4 linked regions of the Drosophila melanogaster genome follow. The protein of the gene in region 4 purifies or fractionates together with the protein of the main gene of each other region. This does not show direct contact. Each region holds a gene or a part of one and is shown on either strand. Other genes may lie near its edges. The genes, in order: Pcyt2, Idh3b, Fmo-1 and CG8888.

Region 1 (7,838 bases), on a different chromosome or scaffold from region 4:
TGGCTTGAACTTGAACTGTAAGCGGCTTCCAAGTGACTCACGTCCAAGGCAAATCTTGAACACAAAATCAAGCACTCTGCTCCCCTTTGGAGTCGCCAGGAGGGACTCCTCCAGATAAGGTGTAGAAATCTCTGACGTATTCCCAATGCCAAGAAATATGCAGACGCTATCCACACACGTAGATACATATGTAAATAGGCATGTGTGCCACGATGAATAAACATGGGAAATCGTCTACCTAAAATTATTGTTAGCCACGCACGAGACAGCTGACCGCACAGTGGGCCTATTTACAATATTATCGAAAGAAGCATTTAAAAAATGAGGAATTTCTACTTTTTCTATGACGTATTGTATATTTATTATGAACAATTATGTAGTTCCAAGCAAATGCCCCAAAATACGCAATGCTAATTATGTACATATGTGCACATATGACGATCTTGTTTAATTATTTCGCACGCAGCATCGTTTTTTTTTTTTGGCACAAAAACTGATTTAGAACGACCTTCGGGAAATTCGTCATTGAAAATTCCCGGTAGCTGAAATAATATGTACATATGACTTAACTAATCCCAACTGTAACTTCCTGCGTGCTGCTTTTGCTGGGTGTGCCATGGAGCACGAGAGGATTGGCGCCCAGCTCTCGGGGGGAATGGGTCATCGTGTCCGGCTCACGTGTTCCGTCTGCACTTGTTTACGTAAAGTGGCGCTGCATACTCGGAACTAGTTCTGCGCTGGGTTGGCCGCCCACCCTGCTGCCTTCCCCGCCAGCGCTTCACTTGCTCATCATCCCGCTCCTATCGAGAGTACTACGTGTCTCTGTATGTCTATTATTACCGACACCGAGCCGTGTTGTTGTTTACCCGCTGTTTCAGTTGCGTTTTTTTTTTCTGCGGAATTTCTCTGGTGCGATGCGCGTGGCGAATTGAATCGGCCATTTGGCAATTAAAACTGAAATCGATTTGGCCGTGGCTCAACTTCGAAGAAAAGGGGCGTGGCTGGGGGCGCGGGGTCAGGTGTCACGTGTCGTCAGCGCAAAACAGTCAGAACTACTGCCACCCGAGTCATAAATATTTGGGTTAATGAAAAGGGAATATCTGATTACATAAAAATGGTTTCACAAGAAAGTATCTTTCCATTAGCTGCGCGAATGTGTAATATATTTTTGCTTATGCACCAATGCATTAAATTGTAGTTCAAAAATAACTTTGTTTATTTCGAATTGTTTACTGCTTTATTGGATTTTATTTATAAATTGCTTGGTAAACAAGTGCATATGTGTCGATTAAACAAAACAAGAATACAACTTGTGTTGGTTCATTGAAGTAAAATTGTTATTCCTTTTTGAGAAAACTTATTAACCCTTTGGCTAAAAGTTACAAGTTGGAGTGGTGGAAAAATTGGCAAAGGGAAATTTGAATAAAATCCAGCGAATGAAGAAATTTGATAAATGATGCTTGCAACTACATATAAACAGAATGCAAAGCTAACCAAATGCGGTTTCAAAGAAAAACTTTATAATTTCATAAGACTAAATGTGATGTAAACGAAACGTAACACACAAAATATGGGAAAGTAATGTAGAGCATTGATGGTAACCAATCTGTTTCTCGATCTCTTCCAGCTGAAAGTCAATTGAATCTCTGTTCCTCCGTCACCGCGTCGCGAAGCCGTTAAAACTGCCGCTCCCAAACATTCGCTGCGATGGCCACCTCATCGATACTCGCCAAAAGCACAATTAATAGCACATCGCCACCGGCCACGCCCAGCAGCAGCGCGTCCCCCGGCTCCACACTGACCACCCGGAAGCGGACCTACGAGATAGCCATTGCCATGCCCTCGTCCACCGCCTCCAGCAGCGCCACAAAGGTATCGGAAGTTCAGGATCAGCGCACAAACAGCCCCGGCAAGTCCAAGAGCAGGCCCGGCCAGCTGGAGAGTGTCTTGGTGGTCGGCGAGGGAGCCAGCGAGCCCACCACCTCGGCCACCACACTGCGGGACAGCACACGCACCATCTCACAAAGCGACGCCGACGATGGCGGCGAAGCGGCAGCCGCCGAGGACCTGCTGCCCCCACAGTCGGATTACCTCAACGGCGTCAAGCGGAAGTACGTCCCGCAGCAGCAGGCGTCGCCGAATCACCGGGTGGTGCCCGCATCCACCTCGCAGCAATTCTTCAGCGGGGCCTCCGATTTTGCGGTAAGTAGTCAAGAGTTAGGATGCAAAGTTAGTCTAAATCGTAGTAGCTGAAATCGTTTGAAATTGATGTTCGAGTCGTGAGTCGTATATTTCCGACGATGTGTGATAAGATCGAGAAAGAATGTGTAGACCAAGGACACAATCGTCCAGTTGAATAGCCCAACTAATCGGGAACTTTTCTTCCTGCAGACAATTTGCAAGCCGGCGCCCTACTCTCACGACGAGGAGGCCATGCTGGAGCGGGATAGATGTGACTACACTCAAAGGATCACCTACCAGATGGCCCGCTCCGGACAGACGACCCGCAGGGTGAGGGTCTACGCCGATGGCATCTACGATCTTTTCCACCAGGGCCACGCCCGCCAACTAATGCAGGCCAAGAACATCTTTCCCAACGTGTACTTAATTGTGGGCGTGTGCAACGACGAGCTCACCCACCGCATGAAGGGACGCACCGTGATGAACGGCTTCGAGCGATACGAGGGAGTGCGTCACTGCCGCTATGTGGACGAGGTATGTTCTGCCCGGCACTGATTAGAGATCTTTCAGTCTATAGCATCTTACTCTGTCTTGCAGATCGTCCAGAATGCGCCATGGACTCTGTCCGATGAATTCATCGCCGACAACAAAATCGACTTTGTGGCCCACGACGACATTCCGTATGTAACCGATGGCATGGACGACATCTATGCTCCTCTCAAGGCGCGCGGCATGTTTGTGGCCACGGAGCGCACTGAGGGTGTGTCCACCTCGGACATCGTAGCCCGGATCGTCAAGGATTACGATCTGTATGTGCGTCGTAATCTGGCCAGAGGCTATTCGGCCAAGGAACTCAATGTGTCGTTCCTGTCCGAGAAGAAGTTCCGGCTGCAGAACAAGATGGACGAGCTGAAGTCGCGCGGCAAGCGCGAGCTGAGCAAGGTGAAGGTGGACATCATCACCAAGTGGGAGGAGAAGTCGCGCGAATTCATCGACACCTTCCTGCTGCTGTTCGGACGTGAGAACCTGAATCATTTGTGGAACGAGTCGAAGGGCAAGCTGCTGCAGGCACTCAGTCCGCCGGGCAGCCCGTCGGGATCAGTGAACGGTGATGACACGGAGGGCGGCGAGGACTACAGCGAAACTATTGACGAGTACTTGGAGATGGCCGAGAAGTTGAGCGGGGGCAGCGGCAGCGGCAGCAGTGGATCGCTGAACGGCAAACAGAGGCCGAAGCAGAAGCGCTCCTCGCTGGCCCGCCGCAGTTACCAGAGTCTGCAGAGCCAATCACCCGACTTGGAAGCGGATGGGGACGAGGATGCGGATGCGGATGCGGAGTACGAGCGTCGAAGCAATTGATTCTATTGCGGGGCAGCCCGATCTTTTCTTCTTCTCTTAATGTCTTTAATGCTATTGTAAATGGACTTGCTTGCAACTAGTTCGACGGCACACTATAGATGCCCCAGGATCGCCACGCAGGCTCCACGAACACACACTTATATTTACTCTAGCCCTAAGTGGTATTGTAATCCCAATGTTTTAGTTGGCACTCGTTCTCCTCCTGCCTCAACTCCACCTGCCCATCTCCATCTGTGAGAATCGAGGGAATCCTGTAGCTAATTTAGCTGTGTGTGTGTGTGTGTGGGACAAGCAACCACCAACGCGGAAAAGACTCATTTTTGTATTAGGCACTCGACGGACTGTGCACGAAATCAATCGGCAGTGGCGGCAGATTCAGGTGCCGAAAATATCTAGAAATATTTATATTAAATTATTTCGCATAACATTAAACTAAGTTAACAACACCGCAACCAGAACACCAACCAATATAGAGAAATCCAAACAAACAAATTACGAAATACATTCGGAAAATGCAAAAAACAAAAACAAGTAATTAGTAACAGTTGGCAATAGCGGAACTATTGCAAATGCTTTGTTAAATATTTTTTGAAAAATAAACATTGAATCGAAAGGAAATAGAAGTAAAGCGAGTGGCTTGTGAATCAGTTTGCTATCTCATACGTTTATCCAGCAATTGCGCATCCGATTCAGCAGCCATCCATGGCACTGCTGGAATTCTTGAGCGCGCGCCACCGATGATGATGAAACCGTTTGCCTTGATTGGACACCCATTCCCTCGCAATTAGCTGCCCATTCACCGGCTTGAAGCGGTTCACTGATTTGTTTAATGGCGCTGCGGTTTATATATAGATGCGCACCCATCGCCTGATCGAATCGGCGGACCCGTGCCAAGTCAGGCGACCGACCCGTTGCTTCCTATTTGCTTGCGCCGCAATTTGCGGCAATTGAAGATGAGCGATGAATCCGAGCCAGAGACTTGGGCCTGAGACTGCTAGAGCCGCCTCCAAGTCGTGTGCCTCGCCAGCCGCTGGACTCAATTGTATTGATTCGCCACCAGTTGCCGCCAATTTATTCTGATCGCAGCTAGTGCGCAGTTGGGGACATCTCTCGCTCAAAGTCTCGGACTCAATCCTCGACAGAGTAGACCTAGAGGGTTATGCCGGTTCCGTCTCAATTTATGTAATCAGTCGTCCGGATGAAATCCCCTTGAGCGGACCACTAGTGCTGTACTTAGTTGTGTATACTCGTACATATATTTTTATAAGCAATGGACAGAATGCCGAAAGAGGACGACGAATCTCCAGTGTCGACGGCTCCTGCCACACCGACATCGCCGATGGAGTTTAAGATGCTACCGCTCTTTATGGACTTTGAGGATTTTGTAAGGCTACTCCTTAGAGGAACAGGAGTTGCCACATACTAATCTCTCTACCCCAAAACGCCTCCAGAGCATTTGCCAGCCTGCTCCTTTCTCGTACGATGACAAGGCCATGCTGGAGCTCGAGAGATGCGACTACACACAGAGGATCACCTATCATATGGCCAGAGCTGGGAAGACGACGCGCAGGGTGCGGGTCTATGCAGATGGCATATATGATCTGTTCCACCAAGGCCATGCCCGCCAACTCATGCAGGCCAAGAATGTGTTTCCCAACGTCTATCTCATCGTCGGCGTGTGCAATGATGAGCTGACCCTCAGGATGAAGGGACGCACGGTTATGAATGGATTCGAGCGCTACGAGGCGGTGCGCCACTGCCGCTACGTGGATGAGGTAAGTGTGTTAAACTGAACCAATGAAATGTTTCTATACACTTTTCGATCCATCACAAGATCGTTCCGAATGCTCCGTGGACGCTAAATGAGGAGTTTATCGAGGAGCACAAAATCGACTTTGTGGCCCACGATGACATACCCTATGGAGCTGGCGGAGTCAACGACATATATGCTCCACTCAAAGCGAAGGGAATGTTTGTGGCCACGGAACGCACTGAGGGCGTGTCCACGTCGGACATTGTGGCCCGAATCGTGAAGGACTACGATGTATATGTGCGCAGGAACCTGGCCAGAGGCTACTCAGCCAAGGAGCTCAACGTCTCCTTTCTCTCCGAGAAGAAATTCCGTCTGCAGAACAAGATGGACGAGCTGAAGACACGAGGCAAGCGGGAGCTGACCAAAGTCAAGGTTGACATCATCACCAAGTGGGAGGAGAAGTCGCGCGAGTTCATCGATGCCTTCCTGCTCCTGTTCGGCCGGGAGCGGCTTAACACCTTCTGGAACGAGTCCAAGGGCCGAATCATTCAGGCACTCAGCCCACCAGGCAGTCCGAATGGCTCCGTAAACGGTGACGATCCAGACGCAACAGACGACTTAGACTCTGAGGATGAGTACATGGAGCTGCCACCAGACTACGGGTCTGGTAGTTGCGTATCCCTTAGTCGAAAACAAAAGCGCCCTGATAAGGTGAATGCCTCAGCAAACCTCAATTACTCGGAGCAACCAGAGCATAAGGATGTCGTAGACGAGCGACGCAGCGACTAAAGACGAATTTGGCCTCTTCCTATCAATTAAAACATAAATAAATATGTTTGAAGTTTAATGGAACAGCGCAGTAGGCACTTTTATACATATTTAAAAGAGCTACCAGAAAAAGTATGCGCTTAAAATACATTCCGATAAATTTCAGTTAAATTATGAATATTTCTTTTGGCAAGAAAGTAAAAAGGCGTTTATTTGATATTTTACTTGCTGCCTTTATTGGTTATCTTATGTGTATTGTGAATATAAGTTGGGTTAAATTATAGATTAGCTGAATGATTTTCCAAATCCTCTTCAATGATAGAACAATCGCATTTGTTATTTAAAATAACGTTGAAATATTCGCATAAAAACAAAAATACAATAAATCTTGTAACTTCATAAGCGATCATCATCTAGCTCTTCATGGAGCTCTGTTCATGCCCGTGGCGAACAGGGGAACCATCTTCTTGCCCTTGGCCTTCTTTTGCTTCTTCGATTCCGCTGGAGCTGCTCCATTGGATTTTGCTGCTCCTACCTTTTGCTTTTTCTGGTCCAAGGCTCCAACTAAAAGTTCTCCCAGACCCCAGTGGCCCACAGATCGCTGCTCAAAGTCCTCATCGCTGGTTCTTGGGACCATTACAGCCCGTGGCGGCGGTGGAGCTGAACGGCCCCAGGCGCCCACTTGAACATCCAATGGCGCGCCACCACCTCCAGGAGAATTACTTCCAATAGTGGGCCACATCTCCTGCTTGGGACTTCCCAGAGTGACACTGGAGTATCGGGAACCGGGGTCCTGGTTGCTGATGTTCATGGGCACAGAGCCACTGGGAGCGGGCAAAGCCTCCTCGAAGCCGCACTTTAGATAAAATATCACATATTAATAATTGACACTAATGGCAGGCATTGCTAGCTCACAGTGGGAAACTCATGGGAGGAGCTTAGGTCAAGGTTAGCTGCACTGGCAATAAGTTTGCCCATCTGGCGGTCATTTATCTCGTTGATGTGCTGCTCTCGCTTGCGCTCCTCGCGATCCCGACGCTGTCGTTCCTTCTTACGATGAAGAATGTCCTCTGCGGAAGGAATACATATAAGCATAATGCTGTACATGGACCTAGTGGACTTACCCTTAAAGAGCTTGAGTATTCCTCCAGTGACCACTGGCGGCTGCAATTCGACTTCCACAACCGAAAACTGACAAGTCAAAGGCAAGTGGCCAAGACAAGTGAACTTGCGTCGATGCTCCTCATCCATAGAGTGCTGTTCCATCTGCACGATTTGGGCTTCGATGAGTAGCGGACCCAAGTCCAAGGTGCCGTAGCAAGCCTGAAGCATCTTCACGTTCAAGGGATGCAAGTAAATATTCTGTCCGTCGTTTGACTGGTAGAAATAATAGTATTTATTATGGTTGCTCGAGTAGCTAAGGCTGCTGGATGCTTCTCCCGACGAGATGGAGGCATCGTCTGACTTCTCAATATCAATCTTGGTCTCGGTTTCTAGGCAAAGTACAGGTGCTGTCTCCTCTTCATCCTCTTTCGGATCAGGTTTCTCGACACCCAACTTCTCAACACGCTCCTGAAGCATCACCAGCGCTTGCTGGATGAACACATCCTCGGGACAGGAGACATCCGATTCGGCTAGCAGTTCGTTACGCTCCCTCTCGATGATGGCGGCCACATCCATCCGCTTGGCTATTAGAAACTTTGAGTAGCGTTTAGCCTCTTCACCAGCGGACACAAAGGGGAAACGTTCAATTGTTTCGCCCAATCCTGCAACATGA
Region 2 (8,364 bases), on a different chromosome or scaffold from region 4:
CTGACGCAGTCGAGCCAGCTTCGAACGAATTGGGCAATATTTAATTCACGCCGCCGGGACTTGAAATTTACGGTAGCCGAAGGAGCAGGAGCACGAGCAGAGCAGGATCACAGCAAAATCAACACCATGTATCGGCTAGCGGTGCGAGATCAGTGCAAGTGCGCCCTGCAGGTGAATTTTTGACCCATTCATTTCTAGCTATTTGATAACGTGAAAATCGATCGTCACGTTGCCCCACACCCCCGCGCGCCCACAAACAAGCGGTTGGCGAAAATACAACAAGAGGCGCTGGTTATGTCATCTACCAAGCCCAGGAATTGGGCGAAAAGCTCCAAAATTCCAGTTGACCAAGGGCGCGGGGGTATCAACGGGCTTGCCAATTTCCTTAAATGTGATGGTCCTAAATGTATTACCTTTCATTGCAACAGCGTACGCTGCAGCAGACGACCGCAAACAACAGGCAATTCGGCGGAAGCAGCAGCGGAAGTGGCGGCCGGGAACAGGGCAGGCGGCAGCAGGAGGAGCAGGGACAGCAAGGCGATCAAGGATATCAAGGATACCAGAGCCTGCCACCGCATATGCGCGAAGCTGGCTTCGGCAAAGTGGTCCTCTTCGTCTCACCACTGGCAGCTGTCGGCGGTGTCATCACCTACGCCAAGTAAATAGAGCCACAATAGAGGTTTAAGATAAGGATAGGCAGTCCACCTGTAGATCAACAAAAATTCGTACACATTTTATTGCACCTGAAATGCTTAAATGAACCATCGAATAATGTAGAAATCCTTTTCCAGATACGACGACGACTTCCGCAAATTGGTGGAGAAGAATGTACCCGGCGCAGGATCCGTCATCAAGGTGGCTCTGCAGGAGGAACCGCCATTCAAGGGCATCACCAAGAACGTCAACGATCAGATCGATAAGGTCAAGTCTGGCATCGAGACAGTGACGTCCACGGTGGACTCCGTTACATCTAAGGTGACGGGCCTGTTTGGCGGCGGCAGCGGCGATGACAAGTCCAAGAAGTCCAAAGTGGAGCCCGTGAAGGCCACTCCTGCTGAGGAAAAGAGACCCTCAAAACCAAGCGAAGTCAGCAAGACTGAAGCGAAGCCAGTGTCGAAGCCAGCAGCAGCAGCAGCGCCTGCGCCCGCTGCCAAGCCTAAGGATAATCCGCTGCCCCGCGATGTTGTTGAGCTGGAGAAAGCCATCGAGCTGTCTGCTCAACTGGCCGTCAAGGAGTACAACGTCGCTATTGGCGTTTTGAAAGGGTGAGCAATTCTCGTTAACTATTCGTTGCGTGATTTTAAATTTAATCAAATATCGTTCAGCTTTAATGACGATGTCCGTAAGGTTGTAGACAAGGCCGTAGAGAATGGAGAGAACTCTCTTTGGACCACGCTGAAAAATCGAGCAAGTGCCCGTGATACGGCAGTGGCTACGGCAGAGCGAGCTGCCCGTGAGGCTCAGGAGAAGATTGGTAAGTCCATTGTTTGTTAAATAGATTCCAAATTTCAGTAACATTCCCTTCTATCAACTGCAGTCGCCTGCGAGATCGCCCTGAGTGCTGCGGCAACGGCCCAAAACGCAAAGAAAGTAGAGGCAGTGCGCGACAAGATCAAGAAGCTTGTGGACCACATTGGCAACGTAAAGGACGAGCTTTACCGGCACAAGGACACGGCCAGCGTGTCAGACAAGTACTGGCGGAATGTGGAGAAGGCGCGAAACTACTTCATTGACGAGATCGAGTCTATCTTCCCCGGCCTCAGTTTGGCGGATAAGAAACTTAATCTGTCAAAGGAGGACCTAGACTTGTTCATCCTGCACGCCTACACCCATGTCCTGGCCTACCAGAAGGAGCTGCAGCGCTTGCAAACCGATGGTGAGCTGCGCCTGAAGAGAGCTATTGACTCGGTTCGCGGTGACAACGATTCGGAGGCTTTGCGCGCCCAACTGGAATACCATTTGGAGGCCGAGCGGCGCAAACTGGCCGTGGAAAATCAAAAGAAAATCTTCCACATCCACGCCGAGTCTGATAAGCTGCTGCGCTTGCAGCTCAAAAAGCAAGCAGAGGCCCACGCCGATCATATAAAGGACATCGTGGCGCAGCGGGAGACCGATCTGACGCGAAGCTTTAAGCGTGAACTTGAGGATAAGCTGGCGACCGAAAAGGCCAACTATAAGTTACAATTGGCCGGGATGCTCGGCAAGCTGCGCGGAATGGACGCGGCTCTGGCAGGTAAGTTATACGTTTTAAACGATATCGGTTGAATGTAGCTAGTGTAGCGTGGCTAGATATATAATGGTTTTCAAACCTTTTCAAAACATGCTGCTATATTAGAGATAGAGGATGAGTTTCAAGGTATATTCACCCTATATGAAGGGTAGTACTTATACCAACTTATTCTTGGTTTAATCAAAATGTTTATTGACATTATATGCAACATTTTTGCAGAGCGTGCGGATGCAGAGCGTACTGCCAATCAGGCGCAGGCCCTTTGGGCCGCCTGCCAAGCTCTGTGGGCCTCCGTGCGCGCTGCCACTCCTGGCGTGCACTATAAGGATAGGTTGCGCCCGTTAAAGAACGAGATCAATGCCATTGCCAAGGTGGCTAGTAAGTTGAAACGTTTCCCACATTTCGATTTCAGTTGCTAAATGCATATGCTTACAGAGGGTGACGACCTGGTGGCCGCTGTGCTGGAAAGCGTCCCGAAGGAGGCTCAGGAGCGCGGTGTCTATCCAGAAGATGCATTGCGCGAGCGTTTCCTGAATGTGGAGCGCGTGGCGCGACGATTGGCTTTGGTGCCCGAGGAAGGAGCCGGCCTGCCCATCTACTTCCTGTCCTATCTGCAATCGCTGTTCATCTTGCGACCCGATAATCCCATATCCAAGGACGAACTCGAGAACAAACCCTTCGACTATAGCAAACTGGACACCTACGATATCCTAAACAGGGCCAGGTGAGGCGATTGATTCATCTATCACTAGAGTTATATAATATATATTATATATATTATGTTTCACAGGTACCATGTGGATCGCAGCGACTTTCTGCAGGCGCTCAAGTACATGAATCTGCTGCAGGGTGCATCGCGCAAGATTGCCGGCGAGTGGATGAAGGAGGCTCGCCTCATGCTGGAGACTCAGCAGGCGGCCAACACCTTGATGGCTCACGCCGCTGCCAGCGGACTATTGTATTTGTAGACTACGTCCCGTGTCCCCTTCCTTCAGAAACAAGATGATACACTTACTATTTGTTATTAGTCCAGGAGAAGATGGTACGATTACCAACAATATGTAATTTGTCCAATTAGCGATCACAGTTGAAACGAAATAGCACTTATATACATATATTTGTAACATTTTGTTTAGCTTCAATTATACAAATTAAACATAGAAACCATCATTATAAAATCCAAAACATAAATACTCTGGGAAGATTTGTAAAAAATTCGATACCAAGGCATGAATGGAATATGATATATTACTAAAGCTGAAATTGGCAAGCTTTGTGTTTCTGAAGAACAATGTGATTAGGCCATAAATAAACATAAAGAACATCCACTTGTTGTTTAATTTAGCGAAAAAAATTAATATAATAAATAAGTTGACTAAAAAGTATGCTGAATGTCAAAATTCAAATAAAATGCATTGGCTAAATTTAATTTCTCTGTTCTGAAAAGAAAGCATGGTAGGCAAGGCAAATGTATTCAAAAACAGGTTACTATGCGGTTGCCGCCAAATTTATTCCTTAAATAATCGTATATGTTCGTTACTAATTTTCGAACGCCAAAATCGCGATAGTTGGTCGTTAGCCAGCACTGGACGCGCCAGTTTCGTGGGCGGCTATCGCCAGCCCTGGTAGTCAGAGGCAATCAGCTGGTTTGCGTGGTCGATTTGGTCCTATTGAAATTTTTCGGTTTGGCACCGGAGCAAAAATCACATCGCAATCAAAAATTTCGCGTGGCCAAAGGACACACTTTTGAGTTTGGATCAACAGCCGGGAAGATCTAGCTAACCGAATAGCAAAATGTCGATGCTGGCGAGAACAGTTGGACGGACGTTCATGCAGGTAAACGGCCATCCAAACCGCAGCTCTTACATAAACACTTGCTCGCGACGCGCTGTGCGAATATTTCTGCGCTGAGGCCTAGTTCTTATACGTTTCTTTTTTTTTTTTTTGAGGTTATAATCCTAGCCAGCCTTAACGATTACATTGCATTCTTCTCGTTTTAGGCTGCGGCAGCACGTAGTCTGCACACCACGTCGACGCTACGGGCTACGGTGAGTGTTAAATGCGCTTATTAAGTGGCACCAGTTGTAACCGGAAAATAATTGGTCTTGCAGGATAACTACGGCGCCAACAGGACCACCTGCACACTGATTCCCGGCGACGGTGTGGGTCCCGAGCTGGTCTACTCCCTCCAGGAGGTCTTCAAGGTAGCTAACCATCCATCAAGTTGCAATCATTCACATACAGTATTCCAATGCGTCCTAATTCTTATAAATCTATACTCTTGCGTCTCTTGATCTCTCTTAAAAAAAAGGTTATTTAAGCTTAGGATCATTGCCAGCTTGGTTTCCTATTTAATAGAAAAGCTTTTTTTAAGCAAGTCGGCGTTTAGTTAGTTATGTACATATTTCTAGAATCTATTAGATTTAAAAAGCACAGGGCTCTAAAAATTAATTAATATATTTCACTCTTCACAGAGCGCATTGTATTTGATAACACTTCCATTTTTCCCGATCACGAGTGTTTTTATTATATAAATCAAAACATCAAACTTATCTGTATCGTAAAGATATGTGATAAGTGGCTGCTACTTGAAAATTTTAGTAGATTTCGGGATTTCCGTTTTAACTGAACATACATGTTCATACGTGCGACTAAATTAAAAAATGCTATGTAAATTCTTTAACTTTTCAAGCCCAATCAATATGCATAATTATCTTATCTTGTCGTTCAGGCAGCCAGCGTTCCCGTGGACTTCGAGTGCTACTTCCTTTCCGAAATCAATCCCGTGCTTAGTGCCAAACTGGAGGATGTGGTGGCATCCATTCAGAAAAACAAAGTGTGCATTAAGGTAAGTTTGCAAGAAAATAAAATAGTGTGATAAAATCTAAACAATGTGCTCCTTCAGGGCGTTTTGGCCACACCCGACTACAGCAATGTGGGTGACCTGCAGACCCTTAACATGAAGCTTCGCAACGACCTGGACCTCTACGCCAATGTGGTGCATGTGCGCAGCTTGCCCGGTGTCAAGACCCGCCACACCAACATCGACACGGTGATTATTCGCGAGCAGACGGAGGGCGAGTATTCGGCGTTGGAGCACGAGTCGGTGCCCGGCATTGTGGAGTGCCTGAAGATTATCACCGCCAAAAAGTCCATGCGCATTGCCAAGTTCGCCTTCGACTATGCGACGAAGAATCAGCGCAAGAAGGTCACCGCCGTGCACAAGGCGAATATCATGAAGTTGGGCGACGGTCTCTTCCTACGCTCCTGCGAAGAGGTTTCCCGGCTCTATCCGCGCATCCAGTTTGAGAAGATGATCGTGGACAACACGACCATGCAGATGGTTTCCAATCCCAACCAGTTCGACGTGATGGTCACCCCCAATCTCTATGGTGCCATTGTGGACAATCTGGCCAGTGGTCTCGTGGGCGGTGCTGGTGTCGTTGCTGGTGCCTCCTACTCCTCGGAATCCGTCGTCTTTGAGCCGGTAAGATTCGCCATAAAGACATAAAGATAATCCATAAGATCGTGATTTACACGGTTCTCGAGCCTAGCTGTGCGAATCCACTTCAGACTATTCTTATCTCTAATACCGATTTCCGATTGCAGGGTGCACGTCACACCTTCGCCGAGGCCGTGGGCAAGAACGTGGCTAATCCCACTGCCATGCTGCTCTGCGGCGTGAAGCTGTTGCGCCACATCAACCTGCCCACCTACGGCGAGATCATCCAGAATGCCATCAACAAGGTGCTGAACGATGGCAAGGTGCGTACTAAGGATCTGGGCGGACAATCGACCACGCAGGACTTTACCCGCGCCATCATCCTGAACATGTCCTAGATGGGCACCACTGTCATCGCCGGCATCGCGATCAGCAAGTCTACAACATCATGGGCAACAACGTTGGCGCTTATATAATCGACATTAGACAGTTTCTGTTGTTGCCACAGCTAAATTTTGAATTGTTGAAAGAAACACCTTGAAAGTTCTTAGTTATCCTATTACGTCCAATTTTTTTTATTTGTCCCGATGTCTTCAGTGCATTCATTTGAGTATTATTTCCGGCGAATATTTAAGTTTAGTCCAATTGAAACGCCTGCAGACCCGCCCCGAATCCAAAAGTTGCGAATTCTTTAGTTTTACCAATTGGCAGTAATACATCGATCCTTGATTATGTTGTAATTATTTACGTATTATTTCCCCCCCCCCCCCTTTTTGATTTCGCAAAGATGCTAATTTACGGTCGAATTATATTTTATGTTTAACCCGTTGAAAAGCAAAACAAAAAAAAAAACCGAAAACAAATGATATTGCTAAACCAATTAACTGATAACGGATGGCTTTGAGTGGACCCACTCCACTGGAGCTGTGAGAAAGATAACAATAAACTCAAATCTAAATTAATTATTATTTAAAAGCCATTGTCAGTTCCGAGCTGTCTAAATTTTAAGTAATACAAACAAAAGATAAAAAAAAAAACCCAAACATATTTCTCAAACTTTTTTTTGACTGGAATGAAAGGCCAAAGGAGATTTCATCGCTATTCCCAACTCCGGCGCCACTTTCACAGGAAATCCAATCCCGTAAAGAGCCGGAAAAGCTCTAGTTGTTTTTTAAAAAACCAAAAACAAATTTATTAGAAAAGTCGATACCAAATGTAGCCGAAATGAAAAACTTAGAACACCAATAAGGACGGTAATGATTATCCAGACGCACAGTCCACGTCCGTCTCCAATTATTATCCACCCTTGGGCTTGGCCAACTCGATGAGGCGTGGCGAGGCTTTGGCCTTCAGAGCCGCCGGCGATATGGCAAACGGATTCTCCCGGATATGCGTGTTCTCGAACTCCTTGGGCTCCGCCAGCTCCTTGATCCGCGTGCTCGCCTTGTATTTGAGCGCGTTTGGCGCGATACCGAATGGATTCTCCTTGACATCCGCCAGTCCTTGGTTGGCATCGCGCGTGGTAAGTGGCTCGGACATCTCCTTGATGCGGGCACTCGCTAAGTGAAGCAATGCCAGGTGCTGCATTATTAAAAGATCAACTAAATTGGAGTATGTGTACTTACGCTTGTAGCGAAGGGCATTGGGCGAGACCTTCTCCGGATTCTCGTTGATGTGGACATTATCGCGCACGACGGGCTGCGATATTTGCTTGATCCGCTTGGTCGCCTTGTAGTCCTTCATCTGGGAGGTCAGCTCCCACTTGGGTTTGATCTCCTCCAAATAGGCCTTGGGACTGGCCAGCTGATTGAGACGCACGGGATCGAACTCCCCAGCTCCACGATCCTAAATGAAATGGGGGATTATCATCAGTTTTTAGCTGAATTTAGTTTTTTTTTTAACTTACCGGTTTCGGGACCTTTGGTGCTTTCTTTGGTTTCGCCAACTTTTCGATGTACTTCTCGTGCTTAGCCAGCTGCTTCTCCGTCTTCTTCTTCTTTTTCTTCCTGCAAGCACAAAGGATAATGGGTTTATAAATAATAATGAATGAACATAAGATAGATAGATATATTATCTTACGGCTTAACCAACGGCTGGATATTCGTGAGACGACTGTACAGCGATAGATAGCTGTAGCGAAGCCATCTGTTCAGTATGGACTCCCCAATTGAGTCGCCCGCCAGAATGGCCGTTCGCCGCCTGTGAAGCAATCGACGGACCGTGGGCAGAGCTAGTTGCTCGGTGCGTGTGTGATTCTGGGCGTCACATGGTCGCACCATCTCGATGGACTTGGGAAATGAGCAGGCGCATTTCGGCACAAAGCGGCAGGTGCGTCGCCTGGGTATGGCCATTTCCATCAGACGCCGCCGCTTGACGAACATGCGCTCGTGTCGGCGCGTCAGTTTGTCCAGCTCCTGGCCAATGTCCCTAACGAAGCACTCGGCATCGTAGGGAATGGGGTCCCGGATGGGACAGCAGTCCGGACGGACGCAGTCCTTCAGCTGCAGACAAGTGGTCACCGTCGGGCTGAGGTCACACTTCAGTCCTTGGATGGTCATTCTGTGGATTTCCGAATTTTGACGCACTACTTTAAACCAATTAATGCTAACTTTTTTATTCGCTTATGATAAAAAACATCTACGATTATCTGAACGAGTTGAAAGCTAACTTCATCTGGAGAATTTTTTGTGGC
Region 3 (7,279 bases), about 12 Mb from region 4:
GTCGTCTCCGTGTCCAGCCAGATCGAGGATTTCAACGAGTCGCTCAAGATCTGCTCCAAGCTGGTCAAGTCGTTCCACGTACTGGCAACGAACTACGACATCGACAATCTGAACCAGCGCTCCTCGAAGTTCCACGACTGCTGCGATCACATCTTCGACATCTGCAAGCTGCTGCAGCACATTGCGCCCACGGAGCGGCTGCAGGTGCAGGCCAAGTGCCTGGCGATCAACCTGCGGATCTACGGGCCGCAGGTCTTCATCGCGGCCAAAATCCTGTGGAAGTACTCCAACAGCAGTGCGGCCAACGAGAACTTCGAGTCCTTCTCGGACATGTGGAAGTGGCTGACGAACGAGATCTCCATGATCGCCAAGAAGATCCTCGTCTCGATCAACACCACCAAGGGTGACAGAGATGCTGATGCTGAGGTGGGTTGCTGCCCAGAGTGGGCGAGGTAATCACTAACTTACTTCCGATCTTCCCCAGAAATGCGAAAGCTCCTCAGACAAACTAACAAAATCCGGTGTACCTGCAACAGAAGACGGAGAAATGGTTGAGTATTCTGGCCTCGAAGGCAAGAACAACGGAGATCTGAACACATATCAATCAAAATGGAGCGAAGACTTGTCGGACGACAACGACATACTGAAGAGAGCCAAGAACATGTCCGCGATGGCTTTCCTAATGTATCAGTTTACCAAGGGCAACGGTTCTCTAAGAACAACTCAGGATTTGTTTACTCAAGCCGAATATTTTGCGGAGGAGGCCAATCGACTTTACAAAGTCCTCCGCCACTTTTCATACCAGGTAATTATCGGTTGATAATGGGCATCCGTGTCGCTAACTCTGCGCTTGTTTAGGTTCCCGCCAGTGACAACAAAAAGGATCTCCTCAACATTTTAGATAGAGTGCCGACTTTTGTCCAAGCACTCCAGTTTACAGTCAAAGACCACACGGTTGGTAAAGCCGCCACCTTCGTGAAGGTCGATCACGTCATCAGGGAAACCAAGAACCTTATGAACGTTATAAACAAAGTAGTGTCGAAGTGCTTTGAGTGCGCAACTAAGGTAAATAGGCCGAGGCAGGCCCACGCGGCCATTTCCTATATGTAGTGGATGATACTACAGACTTTCTCAATGTGTATGATTTCTATAGTTTACTGTGATATTAAAGCATGCATTATTACAGGTATGATTTTAGAGCTTTCGTTTGTTGCCAGGGGCGCAGGAGAAGCCTTTTGGTTTTTGAGGATGTGCTTCAATCCCCGTTTCTAAACTCTCAATCTTATTAGTTACATCTCTTACTTTCGACTTTGCTAATGTAGATGGCGCTGTATCTTAATCTTAATCGCTAACTTTTGTATTTCACGCATGTATGTACATATGTATCTTGATGTATTGAGTTTTGAGTTGAGTTGAGTTGATAGCTTGATAAGATCCCCCATCGTGTGTTTATCTAACCCAACTGTGACCTTTAACCAACAATTGGTTTTGGCCACTCATAAGCTGCAGTGCCAGCTCCTCTACGAACTCCATCCTAATCCTAATCCCCTTGCTCCGCCTTGCAGTACAAACTAAATTTAACTGGCATAACCGGAGGACTCACCTCGGAGCGGTCGAACGAGAACATGGCCGGCGGCATGTGCGATTCCAAGGGGACGACGAGCAGCAGCGACATTCCCTGACATTACGGGATGGCTCGCCGAGCCAAGGGGGATGCGCGAAGGACGAGGGTGTCCTTCCTGCTGTTCTGAGAGGAGCCCGGGGGTTTTGCTATCGTAGTCTACACTGTTGGCACTGCATTCCGTTTTGTGTACGCGTATTAGTTGGCGGCCGCTTCTAGCGTTGATTAATGTCGAAAACTTTATTAACATACGAGTCCAATTAGTTGTTTCAGCAGCACGATCTTATAATGCATATTTTGTTTCACTACATTCGATGTTACGGCAATAAAGGTAACGCAGATGCAGATACATATGTATCTCGAGCTCTTTCACTTGGGTCTACAAGTCGGTGCGTAGATAGTTCCTGCTGCTTTCGTTCACGATGTGAGTGCGGGGCATCATGTTGCAGCAGCTCATCTTCGGTTCCTGCGAAAGATTGTACACCTTGAGGGCCACTGTTTCCTTCGACTGGTCTGTTTGGACGGTGGAGTCCCTCAGCTTCAGCAGGTTCTTGAAGAACATCAGGTCCAGGGCGAACAGAGCGGCGCAGATGAAGCAAAGTGCTCCCAATGCATAGGCAAATATCAGCAGATCTTCGGACAGCTGCTCCACCGTGAAGAATATCAGTAGTCCTGGAGGAGAGAGTTCATCACTCTGACATTACTGCATCCCAGGAGCCATATTACCCTCTATGGTGAAGAACAGAACGCCACAGGTCAACAGAATTATCTCACAGGTGCCATAGTTTGAGGTGCCCTCGATGATCCTAAGAGGAGATGGTCTTAGCATATCATATATATATATGTCATAGTCACTGGGTGGTTAGTTACCTCGTGAGCAGCAGCACAGCTGCAATGAAGGTATAGCCCACGAAGGTCAGCGTGCCGAAGTCATCGCCCTCCTTCGACCAGGAGATGCTGTTGAGGAGGGTCCACTCCCTGGACTGCTTCTTGTTGATGGCGAACACCCGTTCCGAGTGCTTGTCCGACAATCGCTTTACAATCAGGGCCGCCACCGTGGCAATCTAATGGGGATGTATCTCTATCATTCAAGGTAACTCAAAGTCTCCTTCTAACTCGAAGATACTCGCCAGTTGGAGAACTTTGGTGCAGATGCAAGCTGGTAGCCCCATGTTAGACGATCTTGACGTGCACTTTGCTACTGCGGCACGTACGTTCCGAATCCGCCTGACCCATGCAAATTTTCTCACATTCAATTTCGCAGTTTAGCGTGGGAAAAGACGAACTCAAAGAAGTTGGCCTCATGGCCCATAGTCCATAATAGCCCAAAACCTTGAACTGCTCAACGAATCGAGCACATCTGAGCATCTGTGGGCAATTGCTGTGCCGCCTATGCTTCCTATCGGCAGTGTAAATATTAATATAATAAATATATATGTTTATATGCCCCATAAACAAAAGGCGAGACAAAAGCAGAGGCTTTATGCTCTTTCTTATCAGCGCGATTACAAAAAACAAGCACAGCGATTCATACGGATTGCGAATGCAAGATACTCTCATTAGACTTGCATAATTTTACTACTTAAAGGCCTCAGCGAACCTCTCAATGAAGTCCAAGTACCCAACTTTTGCAGGGCTATCAGGCGGGGAAGCCAAAGAGCTCATCACGGTGCGATCCTCAGTTTCGTGGAGGCAATCGGCGTGTAGAAAGCAATCCCGGCCTATCTCACTTAGGATCGCAGCTAGCAATTAAAATTAATATAAGCTGTAACCAATACTGTAATATGATGAGCGTTTGCATAATTGGGGCCGGAACCGCGGGTCTTTGCTGTGCCCGCCATTCGATTGCAAATGGGTTCGAGACCACTGTGTTCGAGCTATCTGACCGAATCGGCGGCACCTGGGTTTACAATGAGGCAACAGGGGCGGTCAATGGCATCGATGTCCACAGCAGCATGTACAAGAACCTACGGTACGTAAATCTTTCGAAAAACCATTTGATATTCTAAGAGTTTCCGGGCCTCTTCAAAGAACCAACCTGCCCAAGGAGGTAATGGGCTTCCCGGACTTCGAAATCGGGGCAAACGAGGCTTCCTATGTGAGATCCGACGAGATCTGCGACTTCCTTAACCAATACGCGAACCATTTCGACCTGAAGAAGCACATCAAGTTCGATAGCTATGTGATTCGAGTTTTGCAGAGGAAAACAAAGTGGCAAGTAAGTCGTGGAGTCAGCTTTATATATAACCACTTAACTGAAACGTTTGCAGGTACTTTTCAAAGACTTGGTCACCAACAAGATAGAGTTCCAGTACTTCGACAAGGTCTTGGTGGCCAATGGCCACTACCACACTCCGAATTATAGCCAAATTCCGAATATGGAAAGGTTTAAAGGGCAGTTCCTGCACAGCCACGACTTCAGAAGTAGGGAGGTTTTCGAAGGTAATTAAGGAATAACTTCTATTAGGTTATTTCACATGGTGTTCCATTCTGCTCAAGGTAAATCCGTTCTGGTCATTGGAGCTGGTCCCAGTGGCATGGACCTGTCGAACATCATTTCCCGAACGGCGGATCGGGTCACCATAAGTCACCACTTGACCGATATCGGGCAACACTCATTCTTCGAGAACGTACAGCAGAAACCCGATGTGCGGGAGCTCGATGAGAAGGGAGCCTTTTTCGTGGACGGATCGTACCAGGAGTTCGACACCGTCTTCTTTTGCACAGGTTACAAGTACGCCTTTCCCTTCCTGACCGTCGACTCGGGCATCTATGTGGAGGACAACTACGTCCAGGAGCTGTACAAGCAGTGCATCAACATCAGGAACCCATCCATGGCTCTGATCGGACTGCCGTTTTACGTTTGTGCCGCCCAAATGATGGACATCCAAGCGAGGTTCATCATGAGCTACTACAACGGATCCAACGAGTTGCCGTCCACGGAGGATATGCTCAAGGACACCCGCGATAGGATGGGCAAACTGTGGGCGGAGGGACTAAGAAAACGCCATGCCCACATGCTGGGTCCCAAGCAAGTGCGATGCAAGTTGGCTTTACTTCTCTATCTGGTTATTAATTCTATTCTCATTTATTATCAAGATCGACTATTTCACGGACTTGTCGCAAACTGCAGGAGTTAAGAACATCAAGCCTGTGATGACCAAATTGCACAACGAAAGCAGCAAGTGCTTCAATGAGAATTTGCTCCACTTCCGGGAGGACAATTTCGCGATTCTGGACGACGAGACATTCATTAAACTCAACTAGATCCTGAATCAATCAATAGGAGCATTAGATTCCAAAACATCGTTTTTGGACTTCCCTTCGAAATAAAATAAATTTCCAATTCTTGTATTCCAAAACAACAGTTTAAAAAATGAGCTTTTATTCTCGAACAAAAACTTTTTGAACACCGGCAAACATTTGTTTGAACATGTTTGTTGGTATTTTTCCAAACAGCTGATTGCGGGCAGCGCACATTCACCAGCTCTGGCCACACTCGCCCGCCTCCTCGCAATCACCTTCTTGCATAATTTTCGGAACACCTCACTTCGCTTTCAAAGTTCGCTGATTTAGGTCGGGTCTTCAAAAGTGGAATAGCGCCTCGTCATGCAGTGTCCGTTCTTGAACCGCTTCACCGCCAGCTTCATCCGCAACTACGCGGAGACGCTGTGCCAATCCTACGGGAGCCACTGTCCCGTGGTTGGGAAGACCTTGGTATCCGGCGAGAAGAAACTTTCACTCGTCGCCGCAAGTGTTACAAGGTCTCACTCGACGGGGGCGAACGCCCACGCCAATGCTGGTGGCCCCGCAACTGCCAACGCCACCGCTCCCGTCTCCGCCCCCGCCTCTGCCGATCCTGGCAAGGCATCCGCCAAGGAGACCTTTCCCTACGAGCGCTTCTTCAACGAGCAGATCATGAAGAAGAAGCGGGACCATTCCTACAGGGTCTTCAAGAAGGTGAACCGCCTGGCAGGCGACGGGCTTTTCCCCCACGCCCTGGAGTACTCGGAGCGGACGGAAAAGCCCATTACGGTGTGGTGCTCCAATGACTACCTGGGAATGTCCGCCCACCCCGGCGTCAAGAGGGCCGTCCAGGACGCGCTCAATAGGCACGGATCGGGGGCTGGCGGCACCAGGAACATTTCGGGTAACTCTCTTCACCACGAGCGCCTCGAGAGTAAGCTGGCTGAGCTCCACCAGAAGGAGGCTGCGCTGCTGTTCACGTCGTGCTTCGTGGCCAACGATTCCACTCTCTTTACGCTCGCCAAGCTCTTACCTGGGTGCGAGATCTTCTCGGACGCAGGGAACCACGCTTCCATGATTATGGGCATACGGAACAGCGGGGTTCCCAAGCACATCTTCCGGCACAACGACGTGGACCACTTGCATCAGCTGCTGAAGCAGACGGACAAAAGCGTGCCCAAGATCGTCGCATTCGAGACGGTACATTCCATGACGGGGGCCATCTGCCCGCTCGAGGAGCTGCTTGACGTGGCCCACGAGCACGGGGCCATCACGTTCATCGACGAGGTGCACGCCGTGGGATTGTACGGTGACCACGGGGCCGGGGTCGGTGAGCGGGATGGTGTGCTGCACAAAATGGACATCATATCGGGCACCCTGGGCAAGGCGTTCGGTAATATTGGTGGCTACATAGCTGGCACCCATAACCTGGTCGACATGATTCGGTCGTATGCGGCCGGTTTCATCTTCACCACCTCACTACCGCCGACTGTACTGTGTGGCGCCCTGGAGGCCGTCAATATCCTGGCATCGGAGGAGGGTCGCCAGCTGCGCCACTTGCACCAACGGAACGTCTCCTACCTGAAGAGCCTGCTGAAGCGAGAAGGTAAGACGTAATTCTGGCATTTATGTAACTCGAATTGAAGGTTATTCTCGCACTTTCGTTTTATTTTAAGTGATGGCTATAAATATAGAAAGAGACACTTAACTTTCAGTTTACTGACTGCATATATAATTGGCCCCATTTCAGGTTTCCCCGTCGAAGAAACGCCCAGCCACATCATTCCCATTAAGATCGGAGACCCTCTGAAGAGCAGTCAAATCTCAAACGTGCTGATCGAACAATTCGGACACTACCTGCAGTCGATTAACTACCCAACCGTCGCCCGGGGCCAGGAGAAATTGCGGCTGGCCCCCACCCCGTTCCACACTTTTGAAATGATGAACGCCCTGGTTACCGATCTAAAGAAAGTGTGGGAAATGGTGGACCTCTCTACAAACGTCCCTCTTTCGCCCAACGCATGCATGTTCTGCAACTCGGAGAGCTGCTGGCACCAGGACACCTCCCCGGATCTGGAGTGTGGCATTCCCAACTGCCCTCGCCTGGAGATCTCGCTTGCAGCATAGTTGCCTCTTGGAAACACGACTATAAATGAAGCATTCGAATCATAAAGCTATGCCTAAATTATCTGTGCGGTTTTGGACAAATAAACAATGGTTTTGGTGCAATATACATAAATGACGAAATTTCAATTGGAATGGGCTAAGCTGATTGATGACGCTTCTATATGGGGTGATAAGACATGGACTAGAGTGTCACCTTCGCTATGAAGTTGCGTGTTTTTCGAGCCAGCTCCATGCAAATGATATTCAAATTGGGGAATCGCGTGGAAATATTTTCATTGAACCTTG
Region 4 (8,189 bases):
TCCATGGCCGTTCTCTGGACTGGACATTAACCCATTTCTCCCCGAATAAGTCGTGACACGAAATACGAAGAACGAAAAACGCCTCGCTGACATTTCTTTGTGCCGGTCGCATAAAATCTGTTGAAATCATCGGAATGTCGCGGCAACATTTTCGTTTTCATTTTTATCTTTTTTACTTTTTGGTTATTTCTGGCTGCTGCCTCTGCCCGCCATTTTTTACAGCCATTATATTAATATTAATGACCTGCGCCACGAATGTTGCTAAATATTTTTGAAAGTCGCCTTTGTCTGCCGGTCAAGCGCTAAAAAACGCTCTGTAGTTTCTGGGCGAACATGACGTATGCGTGATATTCAAATTAGTCTTTGCACTGCGTTAGAATCGTGGCTGAAAGTCAGCCACCATAACCAGTCAATCAAAAAACCATCTGTAACCCAGACTAATTTGCATTTGCATCCGGACTCCGGAGCTGTGAAGCTCTGGAGCTCTGGAGCTCCGAACTGTGGAGCTGGGAAAACTCTGGTGAGAATCCACAGAGCCATAGTTTCGCATTTGCACACACGTAATCATCGAAAGGCAACCAAATCCTCTTGTTTTTCCACTGCAACTTTTCACGCTGCCTTTGTACTTTTAATGTTGGCAGAGTATTAGTATTAGTCCCAAGGGCCAAGCATGGAAGCACCCCTCTGGATTCCTGGTATTTGTTATTGTCATCGCTGTTGTTGGCCCACAATGTAATTTGGTTTGGACTTTCACGACTTGTTGGCTTCTTCCCCCTAGCCAGTTTGCAGTGGCAAATTTTCTGTTGCCCTCGGTCGATGGTTTTTCGGTTTACCAATTTATTTATTTCCAGCCACTTTCCTAGCTAGCTAGCTGCCCATTGTGTTGCTGGCACATTGCAATTTTCAAATACATCCGCAATGGATTTGGATGTGGATGTGTTTTCTGCTGCTCTTTTTGGAAATGTTACTCTAGGACTAGGGTTTGGATTAAAATCCAAAGGCGAACAGCAAATGAAAATACCATTTCTTGCACTTTATTTATGTAAAGCAACTAGGGCGTCATGCTGATTTGAAGGCAACATATAGATTGCACATTTATTGTATGCAAATGCAAGCTAAAAGCTTATAGGAAATTGATTTGCTCGTATAGTTTTCACTTTATAGTTTTAAGAGCATTTAAAAGCCGGCTAGCATGTGAGTGCCCTTTGTCTATTGTTTCAAATTCAGCTTTCAATTTAAATTGTTTGGATTACTCGTCCTCTATTGTGTACATTGAAAATGTATTTCGGGGTATTTGTTGTGTCAACACCAAGTGAACGAGATAGTAGCACCCACTACCAACTACACACCACATGTCCCGATTTAGTTGCCCTGATTTCTCAGCCAGACAATAGGACGCGTCGCTAATGTCCCCGTGCAGTAATAATAATATATATATACACATATATATCGTGTGGCTGCTAATGTGGCAGCATTGTATTGGGTTAATTATTCTGGTCGATTTAAGCATTTAACTTTTGAAAGGAGCTGTCAAAGTGTGATGTCAGTACGTCAGTCAACAATACCAGCAATATTACACACACAAAAGCCAAAGAAGAATCGCACTAATCGCCGAGCATTTTGTCCGCGTGGGTGGATGACGTCTTAAAGTTGCTCCAACAGGTCTCTGGCTGATTGTTTACTTTTCACGCCATGTATTAGCCATTGTTATGGTAAAGACTTTATAATAATTCAGACAACAAAGTGCGGCAAATGTTTACATGTCCTCTTTCTCCTCATCCCCGTCGTCAGCGTCCACGCCCACCGCCTTGTCGGGATAGAATTTCTTGAGTATCCTGTTCACATCGGGCACCAGTGCCTCGTAGTCCAGTGGGAACTTATCCCGACGCGGCGGTCCCTTCTCCAAGCCGGACCACAGCAGATGCTCCGAGGTGCGTGCATTTTGCGAGAACCCTATCTCGAAGGCTCCTTCCCGCGGAACCTGGCGTCCGTTTCGATTCTTCACCAGCTGGAACTTGCGCTCCGGTATCCGTTGCGTGAAGAATGTTCCGCACTCGTCGGCCTTGGTCTGGAAAATGGGACACTCGTACGTGTGCTCGATGTAGATCATGGAACGATCCTTGGAGAAATGCTCATCGGAGGACCAGTCCACGTCCTTTTTCTTTTTTGCCGGCTTCTTTGGTGGCATTGTGGTTTTTTTTTTAGATTACTTTCACAATTTCGAAGTGATTTTGTTAATAACCAAAACCCATTTTTATTTCGAATGTTGACAATCCTAGAATTCATAATTGCTTTGATTGATTGCTTTTTGGTTCACTTATGATTCTCTGGTACAAAAGTACTGTGAACCATAAATCTTCTTTCGTACATTTCAAAGTGCGCAACGATGTCCAGAATATTTTTGCTGCGCCTATTTTTAAAATGCATGACAATCCGAAAGAGTCAACAACTTTTGGTGGCACGCATACGAAAAGAATCGCTGTTCGTTTGTTAATTTGGCTACATTGACTGACAACGCAGCCGCCTTTGAAAAAATTACAAAAAACGATATTGTATAGATGCAGGGGAAAATGCTTCCATTGGCTGGGTAGCCACAATTTTGTTCATTATATATAGATTTTTGTTTTGTATATATGCAAAGCTCCAATATAGACGTCAATTTATGGCACTGTCTATATTCATGCAGAAAAGCTACTCAACAAATTCTATGCATAACAATAATATATTGTTGGACACAAAAACATGCATAAACAATGGGAGAAAACATAAAAATCGAGTATTTAAAGCAAGTAAATTATACGATGAGAGCATTTCGACGACTATCAGATATTCTTTACGGATTCCATTGAATGTAGGTTTATCACAAAATACGCTGATATTTATCATAAGCTGGAAGAAGATACCAATACCAAATCAATGGATTGTTTTCATAAAAAAATGAAGAATGAAATCGCAAACCCTATTATTTTCAAGTCTCTTAATAGTGTTTGAAGGACATCTAATTGAACTGATTTTAAGAGCAAACATAGTCTTCTTATATAATTTGTGCATTTTTAATTGGAATCATTTAAATTCTTATTTTGGAGCGTAAACATGATTGCAACACTCTTTTATTTGCTTGATTTTATTGGTTGCGGGATTGCGAGATTGCAAATGGTCATTTATTGCATTTTATTTCTCCATTTCTCGTGGCTGAAGCTGAATGATTTTTTACCTTCAGCTGCCCACACGTGGCCCGCATTTTCCTGATCCCCCCCAACCCCCTCTGACCCAGAGGGTCATGGTTTATTTATGCAATTTTCCAATTTTCCCAACATCGGCCCACAAATAAAACCGAAATGAAAGCATACAAAATGCAGCAAAGAGCTGGGAATTTAAAAAAATAAAAAACCAAAAATGTATATGAAAATGCAATTTGCAAATTAACAACAACGCAATTGTAAACAACAGTGACAATGACGTCACAGTGAAACATACAACAGAAATCTATTCGTTGTGGGGTTAAGAATGCAACTTTTGGCGTTTGCACACATACTAATTATGCGCATAAACTGTGTATTCAAAACTAGGGTCATTTTGAAGCAATATTCAAATGAGCCAAAAAGAATATTTCAACAAATGTATCTGCACACTCGGAGTTTTTTTTCTGCTGTTTTTCCGCTGTGGAAAAATAATCATCGATGCTGCGGCTTCAGTGGGGCAGCGCCAAGAGCAACAAATATTTAAATATATTTATTATTCTGAATAGGCGTGCCAGCGTGTGTATATGTATCCCACATACGCATGTCTGCACATACTTCAGATATATTTTTAAAAAATCAAAACGACAATTTGCTGCTTGCATCATTTTGAAATACAACAGAACTTGAACGTCGACGTCGACGTCGCCAGCGGCAGCGGCAGAGATCGTCGATCGGCGAGCGAAAATTTTCGGCAGCTGCAGGCAGCGCCACTCGATCGTACCGCTTAGTGCCACGCCGTGTCTCAGAGCGCCCAGGCCACGGGCCCCCAAACCGTACCGCTGCGGAAAATCGATCTTGAAAATATATACAATACAAAAAAAAATCTAAAACTCTAGCACCGGATATATTATAGTCTAAGACTACGAGAATTGCCCACTTCATTGGGAAAGTGCGTGAAAATCCGAACATTACCATCGACCATCTACACCATCATCAGCATCCGTCATGCAGGTCTTCGATAACAATATGGTAAGTGAAATCTAGCCTGCGGCAAAAAAGCCATTTGTGGCCATGTTTACGCAGGCCAAATTTATTGTCGCCACGTTTGTGTATACCTTATGGCACACTTAGCCCAGTTAGCTTAACCCAGAAATGCCAATACACAAACTCCAGTCTGGCATAACCACGCCCATTTTGGCCGCAGAAGAAAAGGATATCCTTTGGCGGCAACGAAGGAGCAGAAAGGCAGGAAGTCATGCGGTGTTCAGAACGGGCCGCCAAATTAATTACAAAAATTCACTTAATGGCCACGATCCAAGTGGGTCAACGTACGTGCGAGCCACTAGAAATTGAAAGATGCAAAATGCTAGATGCAAAATGCTAGATGTAAAATTTAAGTGTTCCGCCAGAGACTTGTCAAAATTCTACCGCCTGCCTGGGATTTTAAGTGCAACTTAAATGGATGTAGTAATGTTATAATGACTACATTATAATCAGATTTGCACAATAAAAGTCTTGACATTGAGGCAAACGATTATGAACATTCCACAAGGGATTGGATTTTTTCCAAACGAAATACACATCAAATACATTTTCATCATGAAAATACAGTGCGAGTATTTTTGCAATGCCAGAACTTTCCATTCCATTTGATTCGGCCGCATCATCTAAAAATAAATATCCATATCTTTATTAATAATAAAAATAAGCTTGGAGACATATACCGATTTCTTGGCAGCTGAGCGACCCCATTAAGTACATAAATCGTACATAAATACACATAAATATAGATATATCTGAACCGGCAGCAAGTGCATATATGTATATGTACATACATAGATCGGATCGAAATTGTCGCCCATATGTAGGCCACTTACAGAATGGCGGCATTAGTCACATATAATACTCACGTATCTGTGGCAAACTAAGTCCCAAAATTGGTGGCAAGGTCGCCGGATGACGAAAGCAATCCGAAATGACATGGTCGATTTCCTTTTAATATTCCAGACAGCACTAGGAGGTATAAATAGATCCGGCGATTTTACAAATCCGGCGAAGGAAAAATAGTCGAAGCAACCGAAATGGAATTGCTTTATTTTCAGGCCGAATAAATCAATTGGCTTCTGTATTTATGCAGATGCCACCATTTGATTATTTCGCACTGTCGTTGATTTATGGCCAATGGCCAAAAGGGGCTGCCAAGGGTGCCCTCTTGCCAGCCATTTTTCCCACACACACAACCGACCGATTTTCCAGTGGCTTTCCCACACTTTTTCGAGAGTATTGTGCACGTCATGTGTAATTGCTATACGTCAATGTCAATGTGTGGGTTAGCGTCTGATAAATGCAAGCATATGTATATGTTGGTGTAAGTGCTTGTGGTCGTTTCCGGATCCTGTGGCTGCAATTGGTTAGCTTTAATGAAATGCCCGATGATATATTGTTGGGCAAATATGTGCTCGACCATTTCATCAGCCATTGAATTCGAACATTGAGCAGAAGTATTATCGATTTCAACGAGCACCAAATCGGAAGTCCTGAGTCAATAAATTGTATGGATTGCAAATGGCAAAAGATTTTCATCAGCTTTTCTCGATTGGCGGGCAACAGATTGCCGCTCAGAGTTTTCCAGCGAATTCCCGACTAATCCAAATAAAACTTCACAGCTTCCCCGACAATTCCGGTAAACTCAGGACACCTGTCAAGCAGAAGAAAGCACTCAATGCAATTCTGGGAATATTTCCAATCGGATATCTTTGATTTTCCGCTATGGAAATAAAAACAATGAGTGCGTGCAATAATTTGCATATTCACCTTATTTATTGATCAAAACACAAACAAACGAGAGCTGCCACAATTGTTTAAATATTTCCCAAACAAACAAGGCGCAGCTATTTTGTCTGGCTATTTATAGAGCTGAAAACTGAAATGCTAAATGCGCTGCAATGAAATGAATAATTAAATTGGCATATATACCACCGTGATTAATATCTATCTATGTATCTATATATCTTTTATCCTTTAGCGCCGTGCCTCGCGACGCGCCTCCTTGCGACGAGGATCCATATCGGCACTGCCGCAGAAGTCGCACGAGATTCCCTGGGACATATTCGAGCGACTATTCATGCCCTTCCTGTTCTGCCAGGCGGCGGCCATTGTCACATCGCACCTGCTCCACGCCCTGGACATCTCGAGCATCTCGACCTTCGCCGTGTTCGTCTGGTTCGCTCTGGCCACCGTGGGAGCCGTGCTCTTCTATCACTTCGTCAAGGTAAGTCATCCCGCTTGGCAGACTTTCTAATCCTTAATTCTGGCGAAAACCGCATAAGGGATCGGAGTGTCTTGGGCTTGGGCCTGGGATTGGTATTGGACTTGGGGTTTTCGGTTTCGGTTTCAGCGCCACGGGCGTCCATAAGTTAGGGGCTCTGTCTGCCGGGAACGGTCTTTATTTTTCCCTTCCGTTTTGGCCGGGTACAAGTGCCAAGCCAAAACCACAAGTGACGACGGAGGGTCTCAAATACTAGGCAAAACAAATCAGTGGCACTAAAAATAGTCGTCGGGCCAGCAAAGAATCCATATACACAAGGCGGCGGAAGGAGAGGGTCCTGCGGCAGGCACGTCGTCAACTTATGCTTAACCAGGCCGAAGGGGAAGGAGGAGCTGGTGGAGCAGATGTAGCAGGAGGATGCACAGGAAACCCTTGACTATGGATTTGGCTTCGGATTTGCCTGCGTGTGGTATTTCAGGGCTTATACTGTGCCTGGCAGCCAGCCGGGAAATGAAAATGAAAACAAATAAATAAGCAGGCAGGCAGAGCAGAGCAGTCCTGGTGGGCAAACCCGAGCACAACTTGCTGAAAGAAAAGGGTTTGGTAATGAATATAAATTCGCAAGTAGGAAAAATGTGGAGTCGTGATTCACTTGAGACCAGCCGAAAATTGCTCCGAGTAGGAGCTATCTAGTAAATTGTTAGTCATTTCAATCTACTTTCGAACTTTCTTAGACTTTAAGGCTGCGGCAGACAGTCAATTATGTTAAAGGGCGTCTTTAAAGTAGTCAGTCGTTAAAATCATCAAAAGATACTTCAACCACTAACAAACAAAACACCTTAGTTAACTTAGATATTTATTAGAATAAACTATCAATTACTTAAGATAGTTAGGCATTTAGTGAACGCTCCTCGCAATCCCATTATTCAGGCGTATAATTTCCAGCTTTACAACCTATTCTTTGTGCATAACTTAATCCACCAAATGCCGAGTCATTGCCTTCCTCTAGTTTCAGTTACTTCCATGATTCGATATTAAATATTAAAAGCCTTGGAGGCTCTATTTCAACATCCTGTTTGCTGGCGCCTTGCTCAATTAAACTTCTAAGCAGCTCAACCGAAATGCCCCTCAGGTCATGTGTGTGTGTGCCCCCCCCCCCCTCATAGGATTATTTGCCCTAATATCCTCGCATTAACTGCGCAAATTACCACAATGCGTATACGCAAAGCCATCAAATCCAATAAGGTTATCTCTCGATTTCGCACCATTTGCCTCGTTGCACATCCATGACCATCACCAATGGCATCGACGAAGTTGGCAGATAATTCAAATTTGCCTGCACTTTAATTAGCCTCCTTTTGGAGCTGGGAACGAGATGGGAGTAGTGACACTGGCCATTTGCTGCCTGGCAATTACAGGTGGATAAGAGTTCCGAGCACCGTGTCCAACATTCGTGGCACGTAACCATCGTCCTGTGCCTGGGCACTGCGTATCCGTATCGGACGGACGGTGGACAGGGCTGCAGGTGCCAGGATGGCATTGTCCTGGCAATTGCAGGCTGCTTGTGCTGCACTCAACGCGATGCGCAACCCGACATTAAGGTAATAAGCACGACGGCAGGATAATTAACAGCAACGGTAGCAGATGCAAACCCACAAAACGGGGACACGGCAACTGGGGGGCAGGACTCAGCTGTCTTGTTTCACCAAGGATTTGTCAAGGACAATGCCAGGCACTTC

What was found.
Region 1: the proteins of CG8888 (region 4) and Pcyt2 purify together in Drosophila melanogaster (affinity purification with mass spectrometry, with the first as the bait; one large-scale study listed by BioGRID). This does not show direct contact.
Region 2: the proteins of CG8888 (region 4) and Idh3b purify together in Drosophila melanogaster (affinity purification with mass spectrometry, with the first as the bait; one large-scale study listed by BioGRID). This does not show direct contact.
Region 3: the proteins of CG8888 (region 4) and Fmo-1 purify together in Drosophila melanogaster (affinity purification with mass spectrometry, with the first as the bait; one large-scale study listed by BioGRID). This does not show direct contact.

The regions. Positions count from the first base shown.
Region 1 is NT_037436.4:1,549,087-1,556,924, forward strand, and holds Pcyt2 (phosphocholine cytidylyltransferase 2), read left to right. Parts: upstream 1-4,406; 5' UTR 4,407-4,810; coding exon 4,811-4,924; intron 4,925-4,991; coding exon 4,992-5,315; intron 5,316-5,374; coding exon 5,375-6,082; 3' UTR 6,083-6,229; downstream 6,230-7,838. Other genes in the region: Pcyt1 (phosphocholine cytidylyltransferase 1), read left to right, coding at 1,708-2,202, 2,392-2,715, 2,779-3,540; CG12099 (uncharacterized protein), read right to left, coding at 6,483-6,917, 6,977-7,131, 7,186-7,838.
Region 2 is NT_033777.3:22,014,694-22,023,057, reverse strand, and holds Idh3b (isocitrate dehydrogenase 3b), read left to right. Parts: upstream 1-3,873; 5' UTR 3,874-4,024; coding exon 4,025-4,066; intron 4,067-4,230; coding exon 4,231-4,278; intron 4,279-4,341; coding exon 4,342-4,434; intron 4,435-4,961; coding exon 4,962-5,078; intron 5,079-5,135; coding exon 5,136-5,717; intron 5,718-5,839; coding exon 5,840-6,070; 3' UTR 6,071-6,667; downstream 6,668-8,364. Other genes in the region: mitofilin, read left to right, coding at 127-171, 429-658, 792-1,265, 1,326-1,474, 1,538-2,233, 2,336-2,356, 2,450-2,608, 2,666-2,954 and 1 more; Theg (testicular haploid expressed gene), read right to left, coding at 6,969-7,231, 7,298-7,517, 7,579-7,678, 7,752-8,230.
Region 3 is NT_033778.4:23,959,655-23,966,933, forward strand, and holds Fmo-1 (Flavin-containing monooxygenase 1), read left to right. Parts: upstream 1-3,301; 5' UTR 3,302-3,405; coding exon 3,406-3,593; intron 3,594-3,652; coding exon 3,653-3,839; intron 3,840-3,891; coding exon 3,892-4,063; intron 4,064-4,120; coding exon 4,121-4,656; intron 4,657-4,720; coding exon 4,721-4,888; 3' UTR 4,889-4,987; downstream 4,988-7,279. Other genes in the region: alpha-Catr (alpha-catenin related), read left to right, coding at 1-426, 485-805, 859-1,065, 1,566-1,682; CG13566 (uncharacterized protein), read right to left, coding at 2,001-2,293, 2,348-2,427, 2,492-2,685, 2,752-2,793; Alas (aminolevulinate synthase), read left to right, coding at 5,231-6,473, 6,618-6,994.
Region 4 is NT_033778.4:12,075,317-12,083,505, reverse strand, and holds the start of CG8888 (uncharacterized protein), read left to right. Parts: upstream 1-3,962; 5' UTR 3,963-4,187; coding exon 4,188-4,211; intron 4,212-6,207; coding exon 6,208-6,453; intron 6,454-8,189. Other genes in the region: CG13186 (uncharacterized protein), read right to left, coding at 1,757-2,188.